Linked DNA regions of Styela clava. The protein of the gene in region 1 interacts with the protein of each later gene in a biochemical or structural test. Links are inferred from orthologs where the notes say so. Each region holds a gene or a part of one and is shown in the gene's direction. Other genes may lie near its edges. The genes, in order: mothers against decapentaplegic homolog 4-like and uncharacterized protein LOC120327575.

The links.
Region 2: the proteins of mothers against decapentaplegic homolog 4-like (region 1) and uncharacterized protein LOC120327575 form a complex in vitro, tested with the Homo sapiens proteins (3 studies listed by BioGRID and IntAct, with this or other methods). The link is inferred for Styela clava from reciprocal best matches to the Homo sapiens genes SMAD4 and SKI.

What each region holds. Positions count from the first base shown.
Region 1 is NC_135260.1:17,841,036-17,858,287, forward strand, and holds the start of mothers against decapentaplegic homolog 4-like, read left to right. Parts: upstream 1-9,660; 5' UTR 9,661-9,714; coding exon 9,715-9,851; intron 9,852-10,153; coding exon 10,154-10,322; intron 10,323-10,810; coding exon 10,811-11,015; intron 11,016-11,802; coding exon 11,803-11,937; intron 11,938-12,704; coding exon 12,705-12,824; intron 12,825-13,552; coding exon 13,553-13,675; intron 13,676-13,776; coding exon 13,777-13,893; intron 13,894-14,070; coding exon 14,071-14,137; intron 14,138-15,045; coding exon 15,046-15,214; intron 15,215-15,493; coding exon 15,494-15,632; intron 15,633-15,842; coding exon 15,843-15,996; intron 15,997-16,556; coding exon 16,557-16,623; 3' UTR 16,624-17,252. UniProt on the Homo sapiens protein: In muscle physiology, plays a central role in the balance between atrophy and hypertrophy. When recruited by MSTN, promotes atrophy response via phosphorylated SMAD2/4.
Region 2 is NC_135256.1:13,033,810-13,051,489, forward strand, and holds the start of uncharacterized protein LOC120327575, read left to right. Parts: upstream 1-10,607; 5' UTR 10,608-10,798; coding exon 10,799-10,972; intron 10,973-12,079; coding exon 12,080-12,238; intron 12,239-12,472; coding exon 12,473-12,712; intron 12,713-13,032; coding exon 13,033-13,196; intron 13,197-13,654; coding exon 13,655-13,868; intron 13,869-17,680. Other genes in the region: tetratricopeptide repeat protein 21B-like, read left to right, coding at 1-139, 1,454-1,609, 2,406-2,610, 3,354-3,449, 5,250-5,378, 5,664-5,784, 7,551-7,696. UniProt on the Homo sapiens protein: May play a role in terminal differentiation of skeletal muscle cells but not in the determination of cells to the myogenic lineage. Functions as a repressor of TGF-beta signaling.

The sequences.
Region 1 (17,252 bases):
AAATCTTGTATTTATGTGTACGTCACTGTCAAATATTATTTCATCATAAACCTCGCTATAAACATATATATACCAAAAAAATTTACAATTTTCAAAGCCCGGCATCATGTCCCCCTGATTACGAAGGGCGAGCTTTTATTATTACTGCAGAAATTACTGCAGTATAATACATTGTATATCATGCAATTTTAGGTGTTAAGAACAAAATTGTATTTATGTGTAATCCGTTACTGAAAATGTCCTAAAAACATGATATTTCACAACAATCAAACTCCAACATCATATCTTGCCAATTATTCCCAAAAACCCAAATTTTATGATGTACCACGTATGCACTATTATAGTTTTCCATAGCTTCTTAATCAGAAATCCTATTTCCGTTTTGAAGTTAACGATGCAACAAACTTAATGAACAAACAATTAATGTGGCGTGACTCAAGCTCAGCAATGAGCATATATACAATGAGTGGAAACTTCCAAATATTTGCTCATTAATCCATTGTACCCTGCATTTTTACGTCGTCCAGCTAAATGGTTCGTTGCATATGAAGAAAGCACATCATTCGCTGCAAAAATCCCTTGTTTCAGCTGGGTTGAGTGCGAAATTGGCCGTATTGGGGCTTTTAATTTTTCAATTCGTGTTCGATTTTGGGTTTTGAAGTATGGTACGTTTAAAGCATACTAACATGCATATGCATATTTAGAATACATATCTATTAGGTAGAAAACGTAGCTACAGAACAGAATATGAATCAGTCGCCACGTGGGGTGCGGTTATTGCTGTATTTATTCATTGATATAACATGGGACTTACATATTTATCCAGGGGGAAAGGAAAGCCGAAAGCCTATAAAATGGCAAACCACGGCCTCTCCAAATAGCTCTGTGCTCCTTATGAACCCCCAGGCTGCCTGGACTTTGTGAGCTAGTCGTATACTTATTAAAAATACTGATTTTAACTATAAATTACTCTAGGATATCTTGCCATTAAAATTTAAAATTTGCCATTTTCGTGTCTTGTGAATTTATACAAAAAAGTTTGTTTTTTATTTCATTATTTAGAGTACATTTTGTTATCAATCATGATTTTTGCATGTATATTATTTAATTTTAACGATCCTTCATATAGTCATATATATAGATACTGTTGGTTTGGATGCAATTATATTTTTGTAATCAATAGTGAGATATAGAATTCGAACAAGGGTCGCAGCCAGGATTTTTCCAACGGGGTGGAGGGCATACGGTGAAATTAAAACAGTGCGCCAAAAGTTCAATTCACGACTGCGTGAGGCGTGTAATAAATTAAAAACAATGCGTCGTTCACAGCGAAATTCCACAGTCACGTGTAGCTCGCCTCTGTTTTCTTGGCGGTGTTTGGTGAATATATACAAAAACACGCTCGCGTGTAGCGCCGATCGAATCATGAAATGTGGAAATTTTACTTGGAATTTAATGCTAACAAAGTTGATTTTTTATTGTCATTTATTGATTATTTACATGCGCCGTGATTAGTGGTGGGCAAACCGTATTTTTTTTATATAAAATTATTCGAATATTTTAACGAACATCGGCGAAGATGTTAAAGACAACTATTAAGGAATGTATTCACAACAAAAATTAATTATATTCTGATTTTTATCTTCTGTGTTGGATTTGTATCACAGTTACGGTCCCAATTTTGAGCAAACAATATTATCATTACTGACCCCGGGATGCGATATTTGTGAAGCTGATGTGATCAGCGAATCGGTCAACATTACTAAAAAAACATGTAACAGAACCGGCCGAAAACTATGACTTTTGTGATGGAACCAGCTGACAAAAATTTGAATCCCACCACTCGTTACGACCCATGTAAAGGGGGACGTGGGGCTTTGTATTCATTGATATAGGATGGGGTTAACATATTCACTCATGTGGAGAGGAAAGCCGATAAGCCGATTCCCTGCTATTCTTCTAATTTTTGTCTTCGTTTTTATTGTCAAGATATCCCAGACTGCCAGAATGATTTGAAATTGGACAGCCCTGGGGCTTCGTATGGAGCACCTTATAATCTATGATTGCGAGAAGCTGTGGTTCGCCATATATTTAGGACTTCTTATCCCTTTCCTTTCCCATGGATAAATATGTGCCTAAACCCCATGCTATAATCAGAAATAACCGCATTTGACTTCATATTCTGTGCTATAGCTAATAGATATGCATTTCCAATAAGCATATGCTTATAGTTAGTATGCTTTCAACTTACCATACTTCGAAACCCAAAACCGAACAAGAATCTAAAAATTAAAAGCCTCAATACGGCCAATTTCGCAACCGGCGCGGCCGAAGCAAGGGATGAGCAAATATTTGGAAGTGTCCACTCATTGTATATATATATGCTCATTGAGCTCAGTAAACGTTCTATTCTATATGCTTCCTAATATAGGCCGCGAGACGAGGCCGTTTATCTTTCAGTTTTGTAGCGCACATAAGGGAACTACTTGGAAACAATTTTAAAATGTTCCTTAGTAATATAGTAATAAATAATACTTTGTTCCCATTTCCAAAAGTTGCACGTTTTACGAAAAAACGCTTTTACCACAAGAAATATATGCTATCATCTGTCTTATATTCTCTGCTTTTCCGGCAACATTGGCCAATGAACGCAGAATTCTGCGTGACGTAACAATTAAAATGTTATCAGTTGTAGACGGTTGGATGAATCTCAGTTTGTACTGCTCGCTCTTGCGTTGAATTGGGTAGCCTTTCCATTGTCTTTTTGAGTTATCATAAGTTAAGTTATGCTAAGACGATGTTAAAAATTATGAGTAAGCAATTAAACACTTGTAGATTCTCACCATGGATAGCAATTTAAGTTGAGCACTAGCTCATATAACTTTGTTAAATAGGTATGGTGCGGTAACTTCTAGGAAGGATAGACCTAGAAAGATATTACAATCGTAAATTTTATAACTGAAATCGTTGGAGGAAAAGTTGTATTTATTCGATGAAATTGCCGGCTGACTCAACTTCGCTTCAATGGCCGTTTCTATTTTCTCGTTAACATTTTTCGTCTGGCAAGCTCCATAATGCCCTACTGCTTAGCTCCGAGCCGTGCTAGATGAACAAATGACATTGTAGAATTGTTGTGGAGACATTTTACAGAGTTAAATTGGTGTATCACTATAAAATCTTCGTAAAAATGACCAAAAATGGTTATACGTTGTGTTTGAGGTCAAATTTGACGCATTAGATAGTTTTTTTATTCTTAATTGCATTATATATTTAGGTAGCATGAAGCTTAACCTTCGGCTTCATTCTAGTCCTTATAACAGCTGACTTATTCTATTTGGTACAACAACACGACGAAAATTTCCCATAGGACTCCATTGTTTCGCGTTTCCCAAATATGGCACAAGCAATGACATTAAACAACATGATAGGCAACTCTGACGTCACTCCATAAGACTACAGGCAAAACATTGTATTTCATGATACGCTCCAATGCACATATTTCTCGTCGCCTTTCCCGTCCGTTTTCCGCTCGCTTTTGCTACTCGGCGTCTTTTTTACGTGTAGTACCTGCCTTTTTGCGCCTGTAACGAAACAAAATAATCTCTATATCTAAGAAGTTTTGCTTACTTGGAAAGCTGGAATAACAGGCAAGCTGTAAAGAGCAATTCTGGACATCATAGACGTTTTTTTTTTATCAGAGAAGATTACAAACGCGATAGCGGAAAGATTTGTGTGGAACATTTTGCAGATAATGACAAAGTTCAAAGTTAGTAATTTTAATGTTTGCGCTTAATCATTGAAATTTCATTTAAAGAGGGTGTCATACAAAACTGTGCTGCGATACAATTCCATAACACAAAGTTTGCACCTATCGAACTTGCTTTTGTAGGTGAATTTATTAGACATATTACATATTCAGTTAATCGTAGGTAACATTGCTGGTACATAATGCATCGTAGATAGGTTTGTTTAAATTTAGGAATTTAGCTCATAGCCCACTAATTAATATTGTCTTCTATGCAGGAGGTTGCAGGGCTGAATTCAACTTGCAGCCTTACCGATCACCTGACGATGCTCATTTAGTTTGGCTCGAGCAAGTCTTCTTGAAATGCTTGTGTGGATGGAAACTACCTATATTTTTTGCCTTCCTCCGATTTTAGACAAATTTATTCTGAGGGATTTCGCATATAATTCTCACTGATTGTTGGCTGTTTATAATTCCTATTGATTGTGAATTCTGATTATTACAATGAGTTGAAAATTTTTTTACCTAATTTACTGGCACCTTTTTCTTGTCAATACTCCAAGCTGAGGTAATAAACATGACAATACATTTATGTCATCTGGAAGCAAAATATGCACACTAATTAATAGTTTGGCACATTGAGATAATACATCATGACAGAAAATACAAGTTAAAGATATGTATGACCATCACATGGTAATTAAAATTAAAAAAAATTAATAGGGGCTGTGGAGTATGGAAAGTTCAAGACAAAGAAAAGAACAAATGTTCATAGCTCATGAACTCTCAATTTTGCCTCCATTGCTTTGTGAAGGCCAATATATTTCCAGTGGCTGAATTGGTTTACCTTTATGATAGCAACGATTTTGTATTTAATATAGCGAGATTATTTCAATTTAATTGAAGTGATATAATTTCCCAAAGCAATGCTTGAATCGTCTAGAATAGATCAGTGGTGTCAAACTCATGGGTTTTCGACAGCCGCATTGCATTTTGAAAATTGTAAAAAGAGCCGCAAACAGTTTTTGATAATGTATACTTAAAAGATATTTTTAAGATAGTTTTAGTTTGTGACATATATTGTGATGCAACTAAACAGTTGGATTAAGTTTTATTATTTTCTTCAATTTCAAATGCAATTACATATTAATATTTGCATTCCACTATTATTGCAACATTTGCAAGTTACAGTATTTATTATAAAAAATCGTAAAATTCTATGTACAACCATCAAAATCATTTTTGAACAAGCTTTGAATAAGGAAAGAATAATACATACACTAAAAATAACTTAATCTAAATATATGAACCTAAAATTAACAAAAATACTACAGTATAAACTCTTTTTTTTAATAATTACATTTGTCCTGGCGTTTGGCATCTTTTTTGTGTCACCAGCATACTAAGGCCAGTCTGAAATGATTTTATAGTACCAACTCTAACTAACGAGGCCACATGATCATGGGTTTATCTGGATCTTTACGAATGTTTAATTAATTCCAGTAATGCAAAAAAGTTACTTTTATCATTTCATGTATAGATCAGTAAAAAAACAAATGACAGATTTTTTCGACAAGACATTTCGCACTACATTGCGTGGCATAGGATTGCTTGAATTATTATTGATATTGATTTTTAGTAACTAAGTCGTATAATTATATTAATATACAAACACATGGAAATTTTCTGTTCGAAGTTGGTCTTCGAATTTGTCATATTGACTGCTGAGCTTATTGTGTTTTTTGATTGTATTGATGGAAATATGACAAATTAAACAATGTGCTTCAGAATTTTGTGAAGAGCAGAAATGTTACAACTCCCATTTTCTTCGAAAATGCCACCTTCTTCATGTACTTTGCGTTTAATTTAATTACTCAAGTGTTTTATTCAAGTATTCTTTTGCTAGCTTGATGTGTATTCTTAATTGGGTCAAAATGTGGACAAAAAAAATTAATATTCCAAAACTACTTTCAGTAAATTGTTTTCTGTGTGAATAATCAATTTCACTTTAGAAGGTTTGAAAAATCTATTACATTTAGATAAAAAAAAAAACTTCCAAAATACTATTACAATTATTGTTCAGCGTTCGAGGGCCGCACTGGAAGTTCTCTGGGGGCGCGAGTTTGAGATCCCTGGTCTAGATTGAAGTTGTTCAAAAAATATATGATAGTATTTTAGCATGAATGATAATTATACCCCTTCCGGAATTTCTTCTATAGTACTACCAAAAGTTGATGAACCAAATATAACACAGGTGCAGTGAGGTACCCGTAATCCTCATTTCCAAAGCTGTTTTAAGTATGTCTGGCGTGTGTTGTGCCTTTTTACAAATAAGACCGCTTATGCAATCTTACGCTTTGGAATTTTTAGTTATTTTCCTCAAGCCTTGCAGGATGTGGGGGCCATACACAACTCTACCGGAGGGTCAAATGTCTTTGCATGCCTCCATAGGTTGTTTTTCTATTGCAATTTTCTATTTTCAATTGCATTATATTTCTTGGAATCACACTGTCACTGATATGTCGCCAGACTTCTGATATCTCCCCGTCTGCTATAGTTGTCCTGTGAATAAATAATAGGAAATTGAGATTAGACGAATAGTTGAAAGTTTTGCTTTATGTCGGCTTAATTTCTTGATTGATATACTTACTATTTCTGCTATTGCCTCTTGTGCTGCAAGAGTCTCACAATGCTTAGACAGGTTGGTCCACAACTTTCACATCTGAAGAAAGAGAGGAGATTTATTAATTTTCGTTGAGAATAAATAAAGCAGTCTATATGATTCAGAATGGAAAAGCTAATAAATCCAATATCTCATGTTTTATTTAAAAAATATTTTACTGAATTTGGTATATAAACCAACTAATAAGAGGGTTTAGTCAGAAAATTACAAGCATTCGTGACTCCAAATACTTGAGAAATCAGACTATACAATATAGACCGGTATGAGTGAAATGTTAGGTGAACTTGTTAACACTTTGATTCAATACGCAAATAAAAGTGAATGCGTAATAGTATGTTACAATGAGCAGCAATCAACAATGAGTATATATCCTCACTGATTAAAAAAATCTAACTGGAGGTGCATGAACTATTTGAAACCATAAGGGGTAAGTAAATATGTAATTTCGGCAAATGGGCAACTACGTACCGTACTGAATTAATAACTTCGTAGTATTTGACAAAGGCTGGCTTTCCCACATGTACTTAACAGTGCGATGCCCGGGTGTGATATACAACAATAGTATTCACCTTACCTTCTAACGATTTCTTTTTACCCCAACTTTCAAAAATATCATTAAAATCGACAACAACTGTCAAAGCAGGCACGAACACCATTCGTGTTACGCCTTGAAAGCAGCACACATCCGCTCGTTTTCGTCTCGTCAAGTATGTGCATTGGAGCGTGCTATCGAATACGATCTTCGGACAAAAATGCCGGAGTTGCGCATCATGTTGTTTAATGTCATTGGCACAAGATAGCGTCCATGAACTTGTTTAACATTAGGCAAATTAGTTGCCGGTCGTAGACGCAGGGTAATCAGAGGTGCGTGCGGTGGCGAGCGAGTCACACCGCCGCGCCAAGAAACGGAGAGAAAACAGAAATTGGGATATTTCATGGCTCTGAATTTATATTGTAACTGTGTACGGTACGGTACGCTAGGTCTGGAGGTACCGTACTTAGGCTACTGACATACAGAAGAACCAAATAAAAATAAAGTGTACAGTTGTGATTTTCTCATTCTTCTGTACCGGTATCAGGGGTTTCCAAACCGCGGGCAGGGGGCGGGCCAAATCCGGCCCGCGTAACGATTAAAAATGGCCCGCCAAGCTTAAGTGAATTAGTGAAACAGATTTTGTTTCTACCTGTTTGAATCAAGATACTGCCAATTGTCAGATTGTTATGTCATCATCACAGTCTAAGCTTGTGTTTATCATAGCAATTCGAACACCGGTATCTCCGTACCGGTACTACCGTACCGGTACCACCGGTATCTCAATTAATCGGTACCGGTACGTACCGGTACCGGTATCACAGTATTAAGATTGCATAGGGCAGTAATTTAGTAATCAGACATTTAAATAAGGTTAAAGATGTCAAATAATAAACATAAACTAGACCAGGGCAACTCAACTGGCGAATCCGGACTTTGGAGTACCGGTACCGGTACCGGTATTTGGTTGAATTAAGCGCACATACCGGTACAGACATAGGTCTACTGGACATAAGAGTTGGATTACAGGATTAAGATGGTTCCTCAATAAGTTACAAAACATGAACAATTTTAAGCATATGGGAATACGGGAGATCATGAAACTCAAACAACTGGATTTTGAATTCAAGTCGCCGGAAGACTTACCGTATACATATTTATATATATATCTGTATTGTATACAGGTTCTATGGGGTCGAATGCCGTATCTGTAATCTTTTCAGCAAGTCGGCGCTAATTTACACAACTGAAACGTTGTCATACCGGACCTTTGGTGAAATTGTTGAGTAGCCCTGAACTAGACTACCGTATGACTCAGACTTCAGCGATTTGTCCCCTTTGCCAACGAACTATTCTAGTTTTGAAGCAATACATGCAATACCTACGACATAATGCGTCATTACGAGTCAAACAAGCATGTTTCATAAAATGTCAACTGTGAATCCACTAAATCCCAGCTAAACCGCCGCACACCTCCAGGCGCTATACTGTACTCTTCCGGCCCGCGAACATCCTTTCAATTGTAATTTTGGCCCGTGGCCAATAAAGTTTGGGAACCCCTGTTCTATATCTTCTTACATGCTCATAGTTTTTAGTCTGATTACATTATTGCAGCGCTTAAATGAGTAGTTCAGAAGGATTGGGTGAGCGAACGCGTAATATTTTCTCATCTAAAATTTGTACTTTTCAAACCTTACTAGAGGTATTGTTTGCTTTACCGATTCTATAATCAGTTCTAATTGTTTTGTTTTTATCAATTACTTTATCGTCTATTATTCTGATTATGGAATCGAAATAAACTTATACTTATTGGTTGACCGTACATTTGAACCCATGTGTATATCCGCGGGTTCAATCTATATGCGGGTGCTAAAACCCATGTGTTAGGGTTAGTGTAGGTTCAAATATCCATAAAACAAAAAAATTTGATAGGTGCAATAGTATGCAGGTGCAATTGTTGTGGATTCAAATGTACGTGGTTTCAAATGTAATGGAACCTACTTATAGCCATCATTATTGCCACTATATTAACCTTATGTTGGGCGAAAAAAAAAACAATTTAATGAGCACTGTTATGTTTTATCCAAACAAGCAGTGATCAAGTTATAACAGACCTTGCCAAATGGAATCAATAAAATAAAAAAAATGATATGTTTTAAAAAGTGTTAGCCAGCAAGGTATAACTATCAGACTATTGATTAATGTTTTCCGATAGTTTCTTACACTAATGTATATCACATTCCTCTAAGTTTTCAAGTTGAATTTAGTTTTGGAATTGCGTAGTTAGTATACCGGTACCTGTAGAAATGTGGTAGTGTAAAACAAGTTACAAAATATTTCTGATTCTCTTCATTACTAAAATGACTTTCAATGTATAATGAAGATGCCATACAGTACAATTCAAATATTTTTTTCGAACTTGATTGAATTCAAAATATAATGAAATTTTTTTATTAATAAATAATGTTTCAAAATTAACTCGATTTTGGCTATTACTGCCCCATATATTATGTAGGGTTTCCATGATTAGATAAGGTTAGATATATTTAATTTTTTTTTTTTTTGATTCTTCTTTTTTTACTTTATTAGCCAAAGTCTATTTTTTGTAATATTTTTTCCAAATAGGCCTATTACCGGTATATATTCTGTATATTTGTATAAATCGTTTTATTGGTTCATCAATGTTTATTTTTATTTCTCAATTAATATAATTGTGCAGCAGAACCATAATTTAGCATTATTGAACTATCAAAAATGTCTGTTTCGCTTTATAATAAAGATCCCCTGCCTCCACCTCAGCCGAATACAATGTCGATACATCAGCAACAGCATGCACCTGCCACATCCAATGATGCCTGCCTCAGTATAGTTCATAGTTTAATGTGTCACAGGTGAGTCGTAAAGTGGTATAATGGCAAGATGTAATCTTATTTATCTTTTTATTTCATCAATTTCTGAAAATAATTCGGAAACTTAGAACTATATTCGCGTTCGTGGCTGATTTTTTTGAGTTTTCACCCCGTTATGCTAAGTAATTCAAGAGCCCTGCTGTGCACTATCACAAATGTATTCCTGAAATATTTTGTCTGAGCAAAGTCATACATGTCGGACAAGCAGTTTATAACAATGTCAAGAAATGAATCTTGTTTATATTAAAAGATTGTTTGAGTTAAATGCAACATTATCCATTTAGACAAGGTGGTGAAAGTGAAAGTTTTGCGAAAAGAGCAATTGAAAGTTTAGTTAAAAAGTTAAAAGAGAAGAAGGATGAACTAGAAGCACTTATAAATGCCATTACAACTAATGGAGCGCATCCTACTACTTGTGTCACTATTCAACGTACTTTAGATGGGAGACTTCAGGTAAAGCTTCACTAAAACACTTTTGATTGCTTGCTAAATATCGAGTGGAATAGGAGAGGATTTCCATATTTATCCCAGGATCCGCGAGAGGAAAATCGATAAGATGACCTAATCATGTGACATACCTGGATCTCTCGTCCGGTTACCAGTCTTTTCTTGGTATGGGATTAGTTAGCCATTTATTTGCTTCAGATACATGGACTTGAGGATAGAGAAAGCCATAACCGACCAGTGGTTATATGAACCACTCATACAACTGTGAGGAGTCCAGCAATCATCTTGCACTTAATTATAGCCTACAGGATTCGAACCTTTGAACCCACGCTGAGTAACTTAAGCGGGCAATGGTATTATATTGACTGATTCAAATATTCTTTTTTTTTATCCAATTGTAACTTTGATTGTATACCTGACTTATTTCAACTTCAACTTATCATTTTATTTTTTGTTTATAATGGTATAGTGCTGACAGTGCTGATTTATTTTAGGTTGCAGGAAGGAAAGGATTTCCTCATGTGATTTATGCAAGACTTTGGAGATGGCCTGATCTTCATAAAAATGAACTTAAGCATTTGAAGACTTGTAAATATGCATTTGATCTCAAGTGTGATTCTGTATGCATCAACCCATATCACTATGAACGAGTCGTATCACCTGGGATTGATTTATCTGGACTAACACTGCAACACACAGGTTTGAAAAATATTTTCACTTCTAGAAATGTACAGACTTTAGACATTTAGAGGATCTAGATGTCAACTCAAAGCTATTGGATAATGTAGGGGTAACAAAAAAACAGATCCCAGATCATTTGATAATATTCTAGAGAGAACATAACTTTTGTGCAAAGTGTTCTAGATTTCTGAAACTTTTCGGGTACAATCGTACACAAACAATCATAAAGTTTTGAATAATTTTATTTTTTATTTTCTTAAAAGTAAGAAGGTTATGGGATCTGTATTTTGACGCAACCCTGTATGTACAAATTTCACTTCAAATGGCGGTATATACCAATACTAGTCTAAGAGAAACCTAGTTTGGAAAAAATTTGATGTGTTTGTATATTTAGTAGCCTATCGCACACTATTCTTACCTAATATTGTATTTACCAAAATTTTTAATCCAAACAATGTAGATTCTAGCTGTGATATGTTTTTGAAAACTTTGATATATTATGACCACCATTTCCATTAAAATCATAAATTAGTTTTTTTTAATTACCTAATATCAATACAACTATCAAAATAAGGTGTAATACAACTATGGTAGTAAAACAAAATCGTAAATGTGTGAATTAGCAAATGTTCAATTTCGAGTGGGATTGGCCTTGACAGTTTATAACATTTTAGTGTTTGCGCAATGCCAATGTATATAGGTTCAACTACTCGGCAACCTTGTCTAAATGTTATATAAATTCATTGCATATGGAAACAGAATGTTGTGTTTTTTTCATCTTCATTACTTACTTTTCTTACTCTAGCTCCCCCAGCACCGTTGATGTCTATAGACTACAGAGACATGAAGGCTGAATCAAGTGCAACTCATATACTGGGAACATCAGATGGTTCAGGAAACACAATACAACATTCTGTCAATGATTACAAAAATGTTCCAGGTATTTTTCATTGTAAATGTGGAAATGCCAATGATTTTTGAACCTATTTAAAATTATCTTTCAAATGAAGCTAATTTTTAACTTCTTAACTTACATAGGAGGGCCTATATGTAACATTACAGTATCGTGATCTTTTGTTTAATATCACTGAACAAGCTCCAGTACAGGTTGCTTTGAGAAATATTCACTCAGACTGGAATTAATGAAATACATTGGAAGTTCTAAAATAACAAACATTTAAATTTATGTAAAAAAATGTGTATTTTCTTACAAACCATGATTTCTTTCTCACTGCAAAAGTATGTTTGGAACTATGTTTACCAGTTTCTCGTTTCGAGCGCTAATCAATCAATAATAATTGATGGTAATACTGCAGGAGTCGATTGATTATGTCTGTTCATATTCTGAGTATTGCTTATAAATTATGATGCGAAATTTTTACATCTATTGGAAATGCCTGATTGTATAATGTTATGCTTGAAAAATTGTGTATGTTATCTGGTATTTAATTTTATCATTTTTTACAAAAGTAACACACAAAAAATTATTGAAAAACTCATTTTCAGAAATGTTCGTAAACTTTTCTTGATTTTTGACCATATATAATATTATGACTATTAATTTGTTATATTTATGTGAAATAATTCATGGCGTACTGTGCTTTTTTACTCAAAATCAAATCATACTGTATATTCAATATTTATTACTGGAATAATTATGTAGATTTTCACTTCTTAATTAATATTAAATAAACAAATATTTTGCAGGTGGACTGGGTGGAACTTCATCAAGTACACTGGGTTATGCATCAACAAACAATACTATGCTACCACCTTCTCAGGGTGTCCCCAGTGCATCACAACAATTGATGGAATATAGTCAAAGAAGTAAGTTTCATTCACAGCATATAGTCATAAATTGAATGATTGATTGTATAAATTCAGATCCACAATGCTGACTACAAACCTTACAATTTCCATCTATTGTTTCTGAATATTAGTTTTCCATGGATATGTACACTTTCAATAGACACGTTCCTACACTGAGTAAGCCTGGTCTTGCAAATATCAATGTTGAAGTCTAAAGAAAGATACTTCGGAAATAGTACTATACCACTAGAGCTGTCAGCAGTCTTGTTTGCATAACGTATTATCATATTACAGGATGCTAATAAAGAATTTTGAACGAATTTGTTTTATCATTATTTCATAATCTATTCATGATTAATTGTTGTTATATTGGCTTGATCAAATAACTATAGTCTCTAGCAGACATAATTTCAATTTTATCTAATTGACATAATATTATTCTTATTGAACCAATCAATGGTCAAAATTTTCTACTTCACTATATTTCTCAAAGATATAGTGCAGTTTAGGAATGGAACTTCGTATATCACTCGAGGTATCTTTGTTGGTATTTTTTGATTTATTTCCAAATCAAGACATTGAAATAAAAAAAACGCACATGTTGTTGACTTTGTTATACAAGTACTAGAAAGTTATATTTGCTCTAATTGAGCTGAAAACTCAAAATAAAAATATCCAATTTATAATATATTATGCTTCAATTATATTTCATTCCGTATAAAATTGAATTTCGTTATTGTTAACAGATGGCCAAATGAACTGGTCAAGCAGCACAGCACGATACACACCTGACATGTCTTCACCAGTTAATACACCATACTACACACCCGGATCTGACATGAATTATATGCCAATTTCAAATCACCCACGTGAGCAATCAAACTTTTGTTAGCCTAAATAAGATACTTGTCTAATAATATTTAACTTCTATTTATTTATGATAATAAAACCTGTTTTATTTATTAACCAGCTCCAGAATTTTGGTGTTCAATAACTTCATATGAGATGGATGTACAAGTGGGTGAAACATTCAAAGTTCCTGCATCATGTCCAGCTGTTACCGTAGATGGATATGTGGATCCTTCTGGTGCGTTATATTTCTTTTGTTTCATATTTATTACTTATTTTTTGGAATTGAATCCTACTATACAACAGCTAAAATTTCAGGATTCAGAAGACTGCGAGTGATCTTATATCAATATAGTTCTTATTATGACAGCTGATAAGTTTTAATAAAATGCCAAAAGATGTCTTAACATTCTAGGTGGTGATAGATTTTGTCTCGGGCAATTGTCGAATGTTCACAGAACGGAAGCGTCAGAGAGAGCAAGGTCAGTTTTCAATTTAACATCCATCAATGACGACAAATCACAACTAATTGAACGTGGTTAAAATCTATTCAAACCATAGTATCTTTCAGACATTACTTTTGTCACTGGAAATTTTATTTTTGTTTCGTAATTGAGATTGATAAAATTGGTACTTTGGGGCTAGTCGAAGTGATATTGCCTGAGAAACATTCTATTAGAGCAGGGGTCGGGAACCCATGGCTCGCGAGCCATATATGGCTCTTTTGGTGACGCCATATGGCTCCCAAAAAAATCTAATATCCCAAGACTAAGCTTACTATTGTTACGAGATTTCAAACTCTTTTATAGCCAAATTTGGCAGGAAATTCCCAATACGTTTGAGAAGGCGCGTCCAGCACATGTCTATGTTATGTAAGATAATTACCAGACAGGCATTGTGACAAACAAGGGGATTCTGGAACATATATTGTGACATCACAAAGCGGTAGAGTTTTAAAAACACTACGGAGATACCTAAATGAAAAAGGGCGATGAGTATTGTAGATTTCAACTTGGGCTGCATGTGAGTAACCAAGGCCTGCAGCGACTACATGCAGCATCAGATAATCACATTAAGTGTATACTGACATTGTATGTGTTGACTTTTGAGTAAACATTTCAGGCCTGATTAAGTGAAGAAATGTTGTATGGCTCGCACGGAAATGCAATTGAAAATATTTATATTTTATGGCTCTCTTGACCAAAAAGGTTCCTGACCCCTGTATTAGAGAAACATTCATTTAATCTTACTACATAGGAAGAATTTTTCACATACTGTTTTTTTCAAAATGTTCCTCTGTAATATGCAGCCTGGTTCAGCTGGCTTTAGCTTGGTGTGTTTTGACTATTGGTGAACACTTGTGCAATATGTTTTTCCTTTTATATCTCAGGTTACATATAGGAAAAGGTGTTCAGCTAGTATGTCATGGTGAAGGAGATGTCTGGGTGAAATGTCTGAGCGATCATGCTGTTTTTGTTCAAAGTTATTATTTGGACAGAGAAGCTGGGAGAGCACCTGGAGATGCCGTTCATAAGATTTATCCGAATGCCTATATTAAAGTATGTGTGAAATATTCATGAAGGAAATTAATTTGTCATTCAATAATTCAACCCTATAATCGAAATCAACAACAACAAATGACAATCAAATTAAATACGATGACATTCAAATGTCATCATATTTACAAAAGATTCTGATCCTGAATGAATGCAAATGATAAATATAATCTGATGAATCTGAAATATAAGTCTACATAAATGGAATTTCCACACAAATTGTCTTTATGTAGCAATTTTAAATTGATGAATATTTGAGTTATCTAGTTTAATTTCATTTAGGTGTTTGATCTACGACAATGTTATAGACAGATGCAACAACAGGCACGTACCGCACAAGAAGCAGCAAAAGTACAGGCGGCAGCAGTGTCAGGGAATATACCTGGTTCTGCTTCAGTTGGTGGTATTGCACAAGCAGTCGGTATGCAGAATATATATATAACTCTATACATCTAAATCTATCTCATTCGCTGAAAAATATTCTCGTGGCATAACATAAATTTTTAGGTAAAATTTGTTTCTCGACAGCAAAAGCAGAAATGCTTCCATACCATTCGGATCTGACTTAGATGCTTGAAATGAAAAAATCATTCAGGATTCTGTGTGTGATACATTACTTTTTTTTATGTAGGTACACCTGGTTTATCAGCAGCTGCAGGAATTGGAGTAGATGATCTTAGAAGACTTTGCATATTAAGAATGAGTTTTGTTAAAGGTTGGGGGCCTGATTATCCACGACAAAATATCAAACAGACACCTTGTTGGATCGAAATTCAACTTCATAGGTATGCAATTTTTCAAACAAGCTTTCATATTGAAGCGGGAAAATTGTTGATGTTAAGTGGCCCCTGGAGTACTGAGATAATGTGGGTTGTTGCAGAGAACATGATTTCGTCATTTATCAATGTGTATTTAAATAAGAAATCAATTTCGAATAAAACTGAGTTTGTTTGAGTTAACTTCTATATCTCTTCATTGGGTACTCCCATAGTATATGTACCAGGTTAGAGTTAGGCCATAATTTTATTCTGTTTTTTCTTAAGCTTCCCGGTCAAACTCGGAATTTTTTTTAGTTCTATTACGAGTTCGGGGACTGTCTGTGTCAGCCAAGTTCATATACCCCTGCCCATAGGTTTCAGTCCCTTCATACAACTTGGATGTAAAGTAGGCGAACAAAATTAGTTACCTCCGTATTGGTACACACACTTCTGGAGCACCCTTCATTGTATTTATTATGTGTGATAGAGTGCTAGGTATGACATGTTTGTAGTAGTATGCGACAAAGCAGGGTCACATTTGGTGCAAACCTTATCCACTGTAACCTATTTCATATGATTTTTTGTAGAGCACTACAACTTCTAGATGAAGTGCTCCATACCATGCCAATTGCCGAACCGCATCCACATGATTGAAAGTAATGATGAAAGTCATGATTCAAAATAAAAAGGCTCAGATTCAGCTGCAATCTGTCCAATGCTTTCAACTGCGATATCCGATTGAACTATGAATACCATGCAGGACCTACCAATCAAATAAATTATATCAACAGAATATACTTTAAGAAATCCATAGTTCCAACTGTACATATATGTGTGTGCTTGTGAAGCATGTCAATGATACCCAAGTTTCATTCTGTTCCTGTCGACAGTTTTTTGGTCAATGACAACATCATAGCACCTGTATTACCATTGCTGGACCATTTCTGATAAATAAATTAGACTTGTCTTTTCTTACTTTACCAGTGTAATTCATTCTTGACTGGCTATCAAATAGTTACTAGCGGTTTGAAATCATTGTGCAACATATTTTGTATCTTCACTGATCAATCTAGTACAGTTTAGCTATTTTGTCAATTCCAGTTCTGATGTTATTTTCCCTGCATAGGCCCAGTGATTCTTGGCTTTATGATATTTGCTATTCTTAAACTTAAATATATATTCTGTGACTGGTAATGCTTGTGATTTTGTTCATACTTGTTTTTCATGTTCATTTGCCACCTAATAGTAATACTGAACATTTTTGCCAACTGAGTTTTCCATAA
Region 2 (17,680 bases), on another chromosome or scaffold:
CCCCTCAGTTCTTGGGACTTGAGGAAGGAGAAGATACAAATTCGAAGAAGGATACCTCAACGGAAGGAACAAAAATGAATAAGAAAGCTAGTACTTCTAATGATCCAGGTTATCATTACTGTAAAGGATTGTACGAATGGTAAATATATCAAATATATTATAATTAAAATTTTATGCTGTCAAAGATAAGATTTTTCGTGTTTATCCCGAAAGTGATAAAACAGATTAATCATATGGCAAACCATGGCCTGTTTTTCGGTTACAAGTCCATGTCAGATATGGAAATAGATGATCAGTTAGTTATTTGTCTCAGATGATGGAATAAGTCGTAACCGACCAGTAGTAACATCGACTGATCGGTAATAAAGTTCTACACAAAAACAAATGGGCACTGACTGACTGTGCTGACTACACACACGCATACAAAAAATTCCACCGCTGCCAATAAGAAGGCTTTGTGGGCACATTATTGTTAAAATTGACACAAAAATTGTATTTTTTATGTTCCGTTTAAGTTGTTGATTTGATTATTTAATTGTACCCGGAATAAATGTTTCAATATTTATTTAAGATTTATTTAAATAATACAATTCAGATAAAGGGCGTGATAATAACCATGAATGTTACATTAAATGACTGCTCAAACTTCAATATCTGATTTACCACTGCTACCATTACGAATAAAATTTATCACACTACTTTTGGAGTGAGACAATAACTGTCGCATACTGTGGAAGTTATTGTAGGATCGTTTGTCAGTCTAGACACGCGATTTTTAAACGGAGTGGAAGCGGAAAAACTTGCATTTGTTATGTAATAATATGCTTTATCAGGCTTGTTCAGACTCAAATACTGTATGTGTATATTGTATTTTGCGCATGTCATAACACATAACTGTTTCAAGACACTTTTTGGGAGTATTTCGATAAAAGTCACTCAACATCAGGCGCATTCGACTGCTAGAGACGTGGCGATCGACATTGGTTGGAGCCAAGCTTACCGTATCGGATGGAGAAGGAGCCGGAGCTACCAGGAATTTTAGTGGCTCCAGCTCCTGACAGTCTAAAAAATTTTTAATATCATACAAATAATAAAATCTATCCTGTTCAGGTCGTAAATTTTAATTCATAATATTGATTTAAAAGTTTCGAATTCAATTTATGCCCTAAAAACTTTATTTTTAAACTTTGATATCCTCATATCATAGTTTTGAGTCCCGCTTTCTCGAAACTGCATTTGGGCAGATATTTCATGGTAGTGGCACACTCAAACTCAATGGGCATGGAGCTGGAGCATCAGTTTGAATATACTGTGGCTCTGGAGCTGAAGCCAGGCCACAATGATTTCAAACCAGCCAGACTGCCCTGCTTACATATTACTGACAAACCTATTGTGAGTTTACAGCTCAAAGCAATATTTTTACATTCCCAAGTCAATCTCCGATATCTAACAGGTACAGTGGGAAGACCAAAGAAGCATTGCGTTCTTTTAACATTGCAAGACGTGATTCAGATTGGGGAGAACAAGCTGTTACGAACATGGTTCGGATTTGTCTTAATCCTGATCAAGATACTCTGGGTGGAGAAGTATTAGAGAACCTGGATGATTCGTAAGATTTGTTTTCGATTTGCAAGCTTCCATTGTTTTATATCTTTAAAATCATATGCAAAATAGACACATACAATTTCATTGCTATTGACATGCTTATTGTGAGGGTTGTCATAAAACAGGGGTGAACAAAGTTTTCTTTTGTATAAGTCATATAAAGGGCAAAGGGCATCATTTAGAAAAGTTCTTCAAAAGACCGTGTTCCCAATAGTTCGAATTCGTTATGTAATTTATCCCAATTAAACCTTTTTAATGAAATATATTTGAAATTTTTAAAACTGTCTCCTAGAGCTGAGTGTCGCACAAAATGCTATGGCCGACTGCATGCGACCCCTTGTCATTGAAGTATGAATCTAATTTTTATGAATCAACCAATTTTTTTCCACAAATTTTGGATATGAAAATGCTTCGGAAAACTTATGAATATATAGCATTAAAAATGTATTTATTGAAATTCACGATTATCTCACCATACCTTTGTTTCACTTAATCAAAATCAGCGGTTTTCAACCTTACAGGATCTGTGACAATATTCTGAAACTCTTCAGACTTATGACGTTCTTCTTTGAGAATATGATGCGCCCGAATAAAAAGCTAACGAACGAACGCAAACAAATGTGTTACAGTTTGAGTAATAAACCGATTACAGCCGATTTACTTTGAATTTATGTAGACATCGCAAATGATACCTAATAAAGGTCTTTGCTGATGTTCCCCAGAGAACCCATCTTTAGCCCCCTTGGTGGACCCAGGACCCAGTTTAATAAACCCTGATCTAAATAATGACTTACTTTCAGAAACTCTCATGACAAATTGACGGCAGCAGAAGCAGGAATTTCAACGGCAGAAAGATTGATCAAAGAACTCTGTAAAACACCTGCAGCAACCCCAACAGATGCAACCAAGCGTAAAATATTAGAAAAATATGTTCTACTCGGACACAGACAGAAAAGTAGTGCGGAAAAAGCACTCGCTGCTTTTATGGAAATTCTACAAAATGAGGTATTTTTGTCGGATCGGTTTATTTTGATTTAAATCATCATTTTCTCATGTATGGGTCAGAGAACAATAATGTTTATTTTTATGAAAAAAGATTTTTCTTGAATATTACTTAAAAGCTATGAAGCTATTAAAAATAATTTTTTTGGACCCTTTTTGTATTATTTGCAATTCAGTCATAATTCATTATATTTTCATTTTAATATTCATTTTGACATACAACGATCAAACTTGGAACAGCCTAATCATATAACATTGATAATATTAATAAAGAAAATAGAGAATTGATCTAAGAATCTGTATCTTTATAAGGTATCTATGGTTTTATCAATGATATTAATCTGTCGTTATCTATTAAGAAAAAAGATTTTTCTTGAATATTACTTAAAAGCTATGAAGCTATTAAAAATAATTTTTTTGGACCCTTTTTGTATTATTTGCAATTCAGTCATAATTCATTATATTTTCATTTTAATATTCATTTTGACATACAACGATCAAACTTGGAACAGCCTAATCATATAACATTGATAGTATTAATAAAGAAAATAGAGAATTGATCTAAGAATCTGTATCTTTATAAGGTATCTATGGTTTTATCAATGATATTAATCTGTCGTTATCTATTAAACAAGACTGAATTTACCAGTAGAATATATTTGATATTCCATATTTGAAAAAATATTTTTACATTATCCAAGTAGGTTTTGATTGACTTCGACAATACGGTACTATTATAATTTCAGAAAGACAATGTATCATGTTTGCTGGGAATGGCAATCGCTTATCAGATTATGAAGCAAACGCCGAGAGCCAGGAACCAACTCAAAAGAATTTCAAAGGTATAGAATAATTTACCATTGCTATAATTTAATACAGAAATAACAAGTTATTACATACATGCATACAAATGCGAATGTTTTCTCGGAATTGATGGGTAAACTTCCCATAATAGTGTGGAATAATAAAGGTACCTGAACGGATACTAAAATGTTGCAACCTATTTTCGTAATTCTATTTGATTGTGCACATGACTTCATCAAGTTCATTCATCTGAAACTAATACTGTTCTCATAAGAGACAAAGTAACCAGGCAATAGGCTATGATTTGGCATTTGATTGAGCCGTCTTGTCGACTTTCCTCTTCTTTGAATAGAAAAAAAACGATGGTAAAAAAATTAGTCGATGCAAGAAAAACTTGAAATCAACTACGCTTATCTCTTTAATAATTTCATGATTTACAACAGTGACACTAATGACTGATTTGCATAGTGATTATGAAAGTGTTATGCAATGTAAATATGAGAGTTTCAAAGTGTGTCCTTCTGAATAATTATAAGCCATTGATGTGAAATAATAAATCTCAGATGTCATACAGTACCCAATTGTGTTTCATTTCTTGTGTCACCTTCTTGAGCTGTCGTAAACATCATGGCGTTTAAATGCTCAAAGTTAATTGTGTTCTTATCACTGAAATTTAGTTCACAAACCAAGAGTATTCGAATTATCTTACATAGTCCTAAATTTATTTAGGAGATTTCTTGTGTGTTATCTAACTTCAGTTTGGGATTGATTTCTTTGAGTAAAGATAACAGCCTCACTGGATTTTAATCACTAATTATGATCAGTGTTTATAATGTAAGATTGGATCTGGAAAAACAAGCTTTGCTTCCAAGTTTGGCCAGTTGAAACGTGACTGATGACATCATTCCTAAATGAGGCATTTTTTAATACAAATAAGCACATCAGCATTCAATATTTCTTTTTGTTTATTTTATTTTCACAAATGGAAATCATTATTTCGTATATATTTATTTTATCGTAAAAAGGTTAAAATAACATTGATTACGGCTGATGATGAACTTGTTTTAAAATAAACACATCTTACAATGATGTTATCTCTTGTGCGGTTTTTATTGCATGATTTGTGCATAATGTACGCATTAGCAATTGTCCATCTTTGGACTGGAATGTTTTGGACGTTAATTTTTGCGGCAGAAAAATATTAATAAATAATGGGGTGACAAAGTAGATGTTAGTCGTTTTTTAGAATATTTGAAAAAAAGTTTAGGAGTGATTTTTTTGAAAAAAATTTTGTTTTGTCTATTTTTTTTTATAATAAAATCATATTGCCTAGTATTTTGCACTGCAATATTTTTAAATACCGCCATTATTGTGAAAATGTGAATCATGATTAAATACATCTCCTAAAGTTTGAGCACTATCGCAGATCCAAACCCCATTCCCATCTCCACACCCCATGGTATAATGATTGGATTCCCGTCCTTTCAAGAATTAGTGACTCCTTCATATCATATAATATCAGTGGTTTTTGTACAGAGCCTTGCTCAGAGCCAAAGGTGTGAGTAATCTTCATATAAGATTTACAGGTGCTCCAGAATTGTGTGTACCAATATGGAGGTAACTGAGTTTGTTCGCCTACTTTACATCAAGTTGCGTAAAGGGACTGAATCCTATGGGCAAGGGGTATGTTTACTTGGCTAACACAGACAGTCCCCGAATTTGTAATAGAACCAAAATAAGGAAAATCGGAATAAGAATATAGCCTAACCCTAACTTGGTACACACACTGTGGGAGTACCGATTTCTATGTAAAATTTTTATGTTTTCATGAAATACAGATGCAATGGACACTGGAAGATGCAGACAATTTTGAGCAGGCATGGTTGTTACTTGCGGATGTTTATATAAGTGCAGGGAAATTTGATATGGCAACTGAACTGTTGAAGAAATGTGTGGAACATAATAAGGTATCAAAATGAAATTTAAAATTACTTGATGTTTTCAAGTAGGGATTTCCAAATTGAATTGAGTATTTGAATAACATTAGGATTTAGTTTTTTGTTTTTGTTAATTTTTAATTTGAGAATAATTTAAGTTTTAGTTTTTTTTTTATAATTTGTCATTTTAAGCAGTTTACATCAGATGGTTAAAACAAAATATAAACCTATTATGAATTCTGTCTTTCAAAGTGCTTTGATAACTATGTTCATAATTGCTCAATCTATCAACATCTATTTTTCTATTCAATCCAGTCTTGTTGTAAGGCATTCGAGTATCTTGGATACATTTATGAGAAAGAACAATCCTATCAAGATGCTTCAACTCATTATGAAAAAGCCTGGGATTATGGCAATCAGGCTAACCCAAGCATAGGTAAGAAGTACTGAATTATACAAAATATATAGTACAGGATACCTCAAAAATAATGAACCTATAAATTTCTTAATCACTTTGAAGAAAATGAAGAAACTTTATTCAAAACTTGAATTTCTGTTTGTGTATTATTGTACCCAAATGTTTTAATGATCTAGGACGCTTGGCACAAAAGTTATATTATTTTTAGAATATGTTCCAAGTAATCTGGGTTCTGTTTATTTCAACATTGTAATCACCTCTATATGCTATAATGCTGATTGATGATAGTATCAACTAATTATTTCTTTATCGGTAATATCTTTCCTTGATTGAAGAAAACTGCAAACAATACTAAAAAGGATGACCTGAGTAGGCAGACTATGTAAACAGTGTTTGATTATGTTTATGGTATATAAAAATGTATTTGGGGATTATTTTCCAAAACTCATAGCAAGCTTTCTTCAAGATTTCCCTATTTTCAACATTTTTCTTTACTTAAGAATGTTTAATTAGAATACAGGATGATCAAAAAAACAAGACTCATGTCATTTGACGCATGTTTTTGAAAGAACATAACTTTTGTGTAAAATGTTGTAGATTACTCAAACTTTTGGATATAATCATACACAAATAGAAGTTGAAGTGTTAAACAAATTTTCTTCGGACCTCCTGAAGTATGCGCACCAAAATGGCGCACAACCTGAACTTAGGTTGTGTACCAGGCTAGGGTTCAGATTGTGCGACATCTTGATGCGCATACTTCAGGAGTACCTTTTCTTCATTTTCACAAAAGTAATCAATAAATTTAGGGTTCTGTTTTTTGTGAGTCACCTCGTGGAAGAATATACACTTTTATTTGTCCAGTGGGATCTTGGTAAAAAAACATAGTTATGTAACCTCACGGTAACCTCATTACACCTTCGAAGATTATTTTAGCTCTGACCACTGGCTGCTTAGAGGTCATTATTCTTATCTTATTAATTTATGCAATACAATATAACTATATTATCCTAATTTGACACAAGGCAGAAACTAATCTGACATTTCTGTTGCAACATCCTGATGTCTTAATTCAGGATGTTTACAAATACAAAGCAGAAATTGGGTTAAAAATCTGGTTAATATCATTTCATCGATGCTTTGTTCTTTGTTGATTTCAATCGAGCATGGTAATTTCTTGCAGACATTTTAGGATGATTTGTGTGATGAATCCTGTTTGAAATAGGAATTGAATGGGAAATAATCCTATTGCATATTTCTTGTTTGGAATGATTGCTTGTTAGCAGTTCGAACTAGTCGGCTAATGTTCATTGTCAAAAAATTATTTGAATTTTATCAATCCCATCATTTTACTCAAAACTAATTCGATATTTTCAAGTTTCTGGATATCCTGATTCCAGATTTAGGCAACCATATTGTTTTTACACTTAAAAATAGCCAGTCATATGGCGGGTTATATAACCAACTTTAAACATAACATATAGCTGGCCAATGCAAAGAAATTAGTTTTTTCATGTACACAAAAATTAGAAAAATCCTCACAATAAAAGGCTATTGCTTTCGCTTACAGTAAGGAAGGCACCAGGCAAAACAAATGGGGGTAAGGTGTTAAGAACAAATAAATTAATAATTGATGGTTTGTGCCGCCACCAAAGATTATAGTATATTTAATTTGTTTGTCCAAGAAAATCAGTGACTAATGGCTTGTTTTTCCCTATTTCAGATCTTTTTTGTAACAGCTTCTTAGCGTGACTCTTACCAAGTCTGTTTTATATCATTTACAGGATACAAGCTGTCTTTCAACTATCTCAAAGCTCGAAGATTCATCGACGCTATCAATATTTGTCACAAAGTACTTGATAAGAATCCACAATATCCGAAAATCCGAAAAGAAATTCTTGATAAAGCCAGATCAGCTTTGAGAATGTAAATCACTGCAAAAGACATGCAAACAACCTTTTTACCAATAATTGTATTCTGTAAGCTGGAGCTCGAGTTAATTTTCAATCAGAACTGAATATGAATAGAGGTAGTCTCAATGCTATTGCTATAGTTGTTTATGATCATTTTTCTGTAAATTAATTTTTAGGCTGCTATTCTGAGGAAAAAGTAGTATTCAGATGAGGCAGTGAACAAAGTTACTTTTCAGTGATTTATTATTCAGTATGTTTCATTCCAATACAAATATTTTTGTCTTTTTGTTGTTAAGATATATGTCAATTTATACCAACACTAGATAGGCACTGTAAGCATTTAGACTTCATTTTAAAGCTTCTATTATTTGATATAAGTAAGTTGACCTGGCGTAAATGGCTTCATATTCTGAATCAGTTACCTTTCCTGACATCATCGTATGTTAAGCTGTCATTCAAGGCTTTATTTCATGTTTTGTGTATTTGAATATTGTGTTTTTTGAACATTTGAACCTAAATTAATGAAAGATAAAAGAGATGTTTACCATTCATCATATGCCTTCAGTAATTATAATTCAATTTTTGTGCAACTGGTCTCAAAATGCTACCCGTAATTGTATAACCTGTCTGGGATATTCTGTATATTTTTCTCCACATGGCTTGGTGTTGTATATTACTTATTGCTTTCAGTAGAGTATATATATATTTTTGTATTTTCGTTCAGTAAAATATAGTTCAGACTATATGAGACTGTGTAGGCTTGGTGTTTTGTTGGTTTTAATCGGGGTAATGCTTCGTTTTCTTAGTTTTCTTACCATACCGTTGCGGCATATACGGTAACCATGAGAAGAACTACAAGTGGAAATAACAATGTTAAGCGTTCGAGTTGAATTACCGGTATATGAAATGTTGGGTGTATTTGGAGGGTGTTAAGTGTCCAATTTCGAATAGGTTATTGCGAAAAACCGTTTTTCGCTTTCCCGATAAAAATTATTGACTATTTGGTCTTGTGTATATTCATGTGCATCGCAGCCCCACGCCATTGTGAGTTCTGCCAAAATATCTGCTTTGACTTATACAAGCATGAAAAATAGCTACGTGACACTAGTAGTCAGAATTACGGACCATGTCGAATGCTTGTATTACTTCTTTATATATCAATAAACTATTCCAGATACTGGACATGTACATCATGACATGATCACTGACAAGCTAGACGTTTTCCGTCCGGAATAACATCCGCTAAACGCTGTATGTTGACGTACAAGATGTGTTTATATTGCCCATAATTCAAGTTAATAAGCACGACGAGTTGCTGCGTGTTTCTCGGCGTAGTAGCAGATGTAGTGTTGTTGGCCAAGCTTGATATCAATACAGTGATTCCGAGGTTAATCCAGATTAAATTAAATCCATTTTTCCGGCGACAAATCCAGCGTGTCACAAAATTAATTTTGCCAAATGGCATTGAGGTTAAGCAACGTTGACCGTCGCCTGTTATTGATTAATTTCACGAACCTCCGGCTGCTTGCGAAAGACCGTAAGTGCACTCTTTTAACGGATTAAGATGTTGTGGATATAAATTGGGTCCAATTGGAGATACGTTGGGCTGAGATTCCTCATTCTTTACCTTCTGTATTATATAATGTATTCTAAACTGTTCGTAATTTTAAATTATGAAATAGTCAAATAACGCAATGTGTCGGCATTACAACAGTGGAAGTTTTTAATAAAAAGAATACTGATTTCTCTGTGCGGATGGGCTCACGCATTCCTTTCTTATTGGTCATCGTGAGCGGCAGTGTTTTATGTCAATATTATTCAAGAGGCCGAGATCGGACAATATTAGGCGACTTTCTGTATAGAACAGGCGGATGTGTACTTTCAACCGCTATTTTGCGCAATATTTTAATATTCTTAAGAAATGCTAAGTGACGCCTCCGGTGTCCATCGAGGAATCGATTTACCGACATCGTCGACGGACGTCGGGGAATACAGGAGTAAAGCACCATAAAGAGAAGAGCAGACGTCTAGACGGCGCGTATGTATTCACACATACACGCGCGTTCTCCTCGCGACATAATAGAGAAACAAAGTGAGAAACTCGAGCGAGGGAAAGGTCGATCGTCGTCGCTCAGTTCTGAGTTGTCTGCATCGCTCGGCTAAATTTCAGTATTCGACCGGGCCTTAGGTTTTTAGCAACGGTGCTTTGTTGTAAAGTTTAGCTTACGTTCGGTTTCGTATGTGCGGATATTAAACAGTTAAAATATGTTTATTATTAGATTTTAAGTTTTAATATCAACCAAATTCTATGGTAAATTTACAGCAAAAAGTGTTCAGCCTATGTCGCCGATAGAAATCGCTAGGCCGACAGACCGGGTATTCATTATACACATGCTTTATAATTGTTATGCAATATCTGAGCGTGAACCTCGATTTGTGTTAGCTTAGATATAGTTAGATTTAAATAAGAATACTGTTTATGAGTATTAAAGATAATATCCTGAATTTCACATTACATTTGTCTGACTGATACTTAAATTTCCTGAAAAGAGTTCTCAATTTTGGGCCAATTACGCTGCTTCCTATCAAAAACTATGTGTTAATAAATGAAAGGTGTTAATATTTTTGATGATTTTTACTGGACCAAATACCCATGTTTACTACACTGGACTAAGGCTGTAATGTAGCATTATTTTGAAGTGTTGTTACTCTAGTTATATATTTCAGGTATTACAAAATGTTAGTCACAATACATTATTTATAAAGCTGCTAAGCATTGTAATAACTAATGTATATTAACAACAAAACTGATAACTAGATTCAGACAAATTCATAAAGTTTAGAAATATTCCAATAATAATTTAATTGGAAAAATAGTAAAGGCAAATGGTTCGAGTTACACTTGAACTTACGTATAGAGTAATCTGAAATGTTGTTTATGTACCAGGTTAAATATACATAGACTGTATTCAAAATAATATCAACATGGGTTATTTAATTTCTTGAAAAGTTGAACGATTAATACATCTCATTTGTTTACTGGAATGTCAACAACTCTGCGGATACAATTCGACAAAATCTGACGCTTTTCTGTCTGGAACTACAAACCGGGATTATTTATGATATCTGGCGGATCAGAGCATACCCTTGCTCGCGCCATCATGGAACATTTCCACCCGACAACATTTCCAGAAAGCTTGAAAGCTACCTTGAACTGTTATCAGTTATCTAGCATAGATAGCCTTAGTGGCCCGAGTGGATTTCCAGCATTGGCTGCTCAAATGTGGTTTAAGGTTGGTGTCTTTATTTTGGATATTCTGTTTTGAATAAATGAAATTTTCATGTTCATATAGCCTACTTCAATCCTAACTCTACTAAAAAAAAACGAAGCGTCAAGCGTATCTTTGCAGCATAATCATTTACAGATGGTATTATTATACTATACTGATTATACATCTACAATAGCCAGAATTGACATAAAAACAGAAGATTCAGAAACAAAAGATTCTTATTGGACAGAGGAATCTTTATTGGATGATAGTATTTTCTGCAGCGTTCTGAATTTTTATCTTCATTTTTCAAGACTTGGAATACTTGATTGAAATTGAGAATTATACAATATAACAATATATAGTTCAGTACTCTATGTAATAAAATCGAAATTCATTCCTGATTTAAGTTAATTGATTGTTAAAAGTGAAAGCAATTACATAAACTTTCTACAAATCAAGTTATGTTTGTGGCTGTGTATCCATTTCACATAATGTTATTATGATATTACTAGCGATCTGGTTCTTGCTTTTAATGAAAATCTGTAGAATGTGTTTTTCAATTTCCTGACTATTCTGTGTTAATATTTTTGACACGAGGTTGAGTTCATGTGACTTATTCAACTCTCTTTTTAAAATATTCAAATTACAGGCATTGTTTTTTCAATGCATGACTGTATACAATCTCTATTTGTGCAATTTAGCCGCGCTTGTTATTATGCCTGACTTGCCACCAAGAATTTTCGAGATTTTTATATCAAGTAAATTTTAATTCACTGTGTCCTATGTAGTCGCCTTATTCAAGTTGAAATAATTATAGTATGCCATGATTTATTGTCAAACAGTAAAGACACTTATCCATGTGTTGTATTTTTTTATATGCGTGAAGATAACAATTGCAATTTTTTTTAAACACTTTCACAAATATACTTCTGTATGATTAAAGTTAAACTTGAGTTGAACATACCTAATCTAGTTCTGTATTGATGTGCAACGGAACTCCTAAATCATTTGTATTATTTTATTAGTTGTATTACCCTATATGCCAGACAGATTAATGTCTGCACCTATAATTATACCTACACAGGAAATGGCCTCAAGATATCCTATAATTTTGTTCCTTAACTTTAGGAAAACAAGCAATTGCCACCAATACCACCTCAACCAATGGTACAAATTCCATATTTCATTCCTAACGACAAGTCGGCGAAGCGTTCGGAAACGTGTTTAGCCGGGGAGAAGATTGCCTGTTTCATTGTGGGCGGTGAGAAAAGACTCTGTCTTCCACAGGTAAAAACTTTATGATTTGGATCTGTAGTAGCACAACAACATTCAAAGAATGAAAATTGTTTCGTATCCAAAAACAGAACACTGATTAATATGTTTCAACTGTATCTTCAAAAATTACAATAAGAAGACAGTTCTCAAATTTGCATATATATATCCTATCCATTTGTTGGTCTTTATTGGTAGTTTGTACCTATTTCACATCATTTTGAACTCCTGTTAAATTTTGTATTTCAGATACTGACTTCAGTATTGAGAGAATACAGTATAGCTGAAATAAACCAAGCATGTGCCGATCTTCACATTTACTGCAGTCGGTGCCTGCCTAAACAGTTAGAAACTCTCAAAGTACTAGGAATATTACCGATAAACACTGCACAGTGTGGTCTGATAACAAAGACAGATGCTGAAAGATTAGTGGCACTTTTAACAGATCAACATGAGCCTGTGAAATCACACAGAGATCGACTTCCAAAGGTCAGTGCTATAGACATACCTTAGCACCTTCTCAGCAATTCCGTAATACACTTCATTGTAATTGATTGAACAAAATTACGTCTTAATAAATATACCTACTGGAATGTCTCGAATCAATCTTTACTAAATAAGCTAATAAATATACACATACTGTAATAGCAATTTTCATTCTTGTATTTCAAGTAAAAACCCTTGCAACCAAGTATTGACCAAAGATTACACATGTGGGATTCAAAGTTTCTGTTAATAATTATCATCGTCCCTGTTTGTTGGTTCGGTTCATCAATATTATCGTCATTTATTTGATTTCTATTTTACAGCATATTGATCCAGACAGTGGTATTGAAGTTTATCATGAATGCTTTGGACGAGGTTATGGAAAAATTTACCCAGAACTTTACAATTCACCTATTGCACCCTGCATTGTATGTGAAGGTTGTGGATGTATGTATAGCCCTCAACGTTTCATCACACATTCTCACAGGTACCAAATGACATCTATGATTTAACTATACATTCTTGCATGTATGGTAAATGAAAATTTTCAAATTAGTTATGGGCATTAGGTATAAAACATGTGGATTTTACATACTGATTGCAAATTCTGAGTCAGTGACATTCGCATCATGTTATTGACATTATCATAGTTCTATTTTTAAGTTGAATGAAATATTTCTTTCCTGGAAGCTGTCCGCTTTTAATTTGTTATGGTCAGTGTAAAAACATCCCAATCCTTCTGGGAATTAGAATATTATGGGACCTGAATTATAGAATTTCAGTTTTCATAATACAGTGAAAATTTAATATACCATCATCAATTTTTTATTTCAAATTGGGATTGGTATGGTTTGACCCTCGGTGCTCAATTTAGGTAAGAATTACTTATACGGTCCAAACTATTATGTGGTGATAATAAAAAGAAAATTTTTTATCAACACTCAGGTCTTTTGAGAAGCGAACATGCCATTGGGGCTTTGACCCTGATAGCTGGAGGAATTATCTTCTGCTACCTAAAGATCTTGAAGGAGCGAAACGTGAAGAATATCAAAAAATTCTTGATCAGGTCAAATCAAGATTTGAGCAACGGTATGATGTACCTTCTCACCCACCTGTAAGATATTCTGGGGGTTCTCCAACACCAAGCAAGAGAAGATATGTACGTTAATTTCATTTACTTTATTCATTATGTTGTCTGGTTTAATTCTTTTAACACCAATGTCTTCAAGTTTTGTAGGCACTTATAATACTTGTATTTTGTACCGAAGAGAAGTTCAAATATACTTGACTAAGTCTTTTTTCCATTCAATTTTGCTGTAATAACAGTAAATTCAATAAAACTTATATGAATAACTCCCGAGGGTTTTCAAGATTGTTGGATCAATGCCTAAGACTAAACTAGCTAATGCAGTTCAATCTTCGTTCATATTCAAATCTACATATATTCATTCTAATGAACTAAATGAACTCGTGCAGGGTTAATAATCTTAAGTAAATGATGAGGTCGTTAACTTGAATCTGACTTAACATGATACGAAAGAATGTTGAAATTTACTTTTCATTATCGCCTGTCATATTGCGGTCCCTTGCAAGCGTGCTTATGAGCATAACAGACAGTTGGTCTGATTGATTGTTAGTATTGTAAACACTCTACAGTGTTGTTGTTAGAAAATATTATGAATAGGGCTTTGGTATAATATCTGTTACAAAATTACTGTATGCTTTCTTGCAAAACCTTTATAAATTATTTAGGGTAATTATATTCATTTTATCACAATGCAAAATTTCTAGAATACCGTACTTACAGTAACTATTTGGTATTGACATTTATACTTTAGAGACTTTGGCCTAGCCAAAGCGGACGATATCGTTAATATCACACGTTTTTAATTTTGTCTTCTAGTTGGTCTCGTGTGCTTGCTCTCATTTACAAATCCTAATACGAGTATTGCTTGCGCTGTCGCTGCTTGTATGTTTTTGTACTATTCACGACGCGCCTTTGTGACGCGATCCAACGTGTTATTACGTGCAGCACAGTCCCTAGATACAGTCTCTCATCAAATTGATGATGTATATCTAACTCATATATAGATACGATTTGCCGTGTATTAATAATATTAAATTGGTAGGCCAAGGAGAAATGTGTTTCGTGGTATAATGACATGGTGTACTCGAATGACCGTCACTAATTTGAACGATGTTTTTAGGATTTCAAAAATATTATTATAAATTTATCGGAAAAGTAATCTGAATGAATTTTTATGTTCATTCCCATCAGTTATCTCGCTACGGCAATAATTGTCTCAATTTCCAGACAAAGCCAATAGGATCTCGATTATCAGTAACTTATTGATTTTAGTGATTCCTGCTCGCTTGTATTTACCATTGCACTACCAATTGCGCATTTTACTGTGAATTCTAAATCTACGCTATTCCATTTTTATAATTTATGTTGCCGTCACGACTTTTGCCATGCGTGTCAAAAACGGTATATTTTTCTTGGACAGGCTATTAATTATGAATTATGAAATGTGAATTTATTATATGGTATTTGTCACGTATAGATAGATGGCCAGTGCGTGCGGACTACACTCGCATCATGCATTGATGAATGATATTGCTATTTCATCGCGTGCAAATCTATTCGGCCTGTTTGTTATGGATACTGAACATGCTAAATTGAAATCGAAATTTAGATTTTCGTTGGAATGATAACCACCATTAATAAGCGCGATTTTTGAGAAATAGTTTGCACATAATTCGTTTGCAAAATTTCTGTGAACATTTTATACACGTTCTCTTGTGTGGCAGTTTGTAAATTTAATCTAGGAAACACACATAAATCAAACCAATGGTACGATTTAACTGTCACATATGCCTGCAAGAATTAATGAGATTTCAAAACTATTTGATATTGCAAAAACAAATTGTCATGAATAAAATGTTTGGATCCTAGTGAAACTTAGTGATTTTTCTCTCTCGAGTATTGACTCATTGGAAATGCATCTCTATAGGATTAGCAATTCGCTCTTGACCTGAATTAACGTATCAGTCATAAATGTAGTTTTCTGCTTTTTACTACTTATAACCAATCATCCCTTTTCCTATGCGTCAATCGTAGTAAATCTTTCCGATCGATAGAATAAATCCGCTTAACGTCTTTGGGGAACTTGGGAAACAACCATTAGACTTGACGTTGCATAATTATGCATACGCATTTGGGTCAGTTTAGTTCGACTATTCCCCCTCGCAAACCCAACTTAGCCTAAATAATAACAGTGAAAGCGGATGATGTCGAGACTTAATATCGAGCGCAAAACGTTACACTAATTATTATTACAGTAACTGTTGCCTCTCCCTCTACGTCTCCAGTACTTTGATATGTATATACACTATCGATTAGTGAATTTGTCGTCGTCGAAAATTTAGTCTGCGCTGTTACCTATTGATTTAGCGACAAAGTTATTTCCCCGCAAAGATAAGTTTCGAATTCCCGCTCGATACCCGATGGGATATTATTATACTAAGCATGGTTACAATTTCGGCGATACGGTATTGTTTTATACTGCCGCATAATAAAGTTTTTCAGAAGTCTATACTCTGTTCCATGTTTTATTTATATTCCCATTGGAGTTAGACATAATAGTAGAAAAATACAGAATACATGAATTACAATTTCTATTTTATATCGATTTTGTTTTGTCAATATCAGTATCAGTACCAAAACTTATAGCATAGGAAAATCTTTCAGCATACCTTATTGCGTACAAAATATTGAAACAAACTTATACAACATATTGGTATGACTTTATCCCACCTGGGATATCCAAAGATCTGGATATAGGTTTTCCAAGTTGATGTTGGTTTTACTAAATATGATGTTGGGATATTAGTTCTCCCTCTCTAAATATAGATTTTGTGGCAGTAATTATGGGACTTGTGGCCTAAAATTTGAGTGTGCTGTCCAAATATTTCGTGTCGTAACGTGAAATTTGGTTGTTGACAGCTGTACCGAATTTTAAATTTTAAAACACCGCCAATCAGCTTAAGTAAAACACACCCTGCGAGTGTGCCGGTTCCGGCTAAATTCCCTCCATAACTGTCTAGACCGTAATTGCCCAGGGAAGCCTTACAAAATAAAATATACCTAAATTGTGCGATGTTGTCCTGACTACCAGGTATAATCCTGAATTGTCGCTCCAAGACGGTGCATTTTATTCACGCCCATGCATTATCGTGTATGATAAACCAAGTTAATATATAAAAAAAATAAACCATGGCCACTTGGGACCGCGACAAGGCCTCTGGTCACTTAATTGACTGGACGATATCGATTTTGTCCGTACAATCGTTAAGATAACAACATTAGCCAGCGGACGACGAAATTTCCGTTTGAATGAAAACCCGTCGTATCTATATGCTTTTAAATGGAATTTTGCTTAAATTTTCAAGAAAATGGATCTTTTCACTATCCCCGATTGAAATGAGTTATATCGTGAAATGGGAAGAAGCATTCTTATAAATAGGCTATTGAGGTATTCGTCAATCCTTTTCAGGTTGTTTTGTTTGCCTGGTTTTATCATGGAGGCATGAGTGAGAAAAAATCTATGTTGATTACAGTTTGCAAACGAAAACCATCTTCTGCAACATTCAATTGTAATTTGAGCGCCAGCCAAAAAATATTGATACTATGTCATTAATGCGGATCCCCATTTTTCCAGACCTTGTCAGATTTTTTAGGTTCGCTGAAAAGCGTATGAATGTAATCTTAATCACAGTACAAATCACATTACGTCTCACTTTTTTCTAGTGCTATGTGCTATTGTCGCAAAACTATCTTGTTAAGACCGAGTCTGTAGGCAATAAATAATGCATTCATACAAACAACCCGTGTTCGTCTCGCCGCGACCTTCTTTGAGAATATGCCAATTCAGTCATGCACGTACTGTGAGTTGGCTTGGCTACATTTCA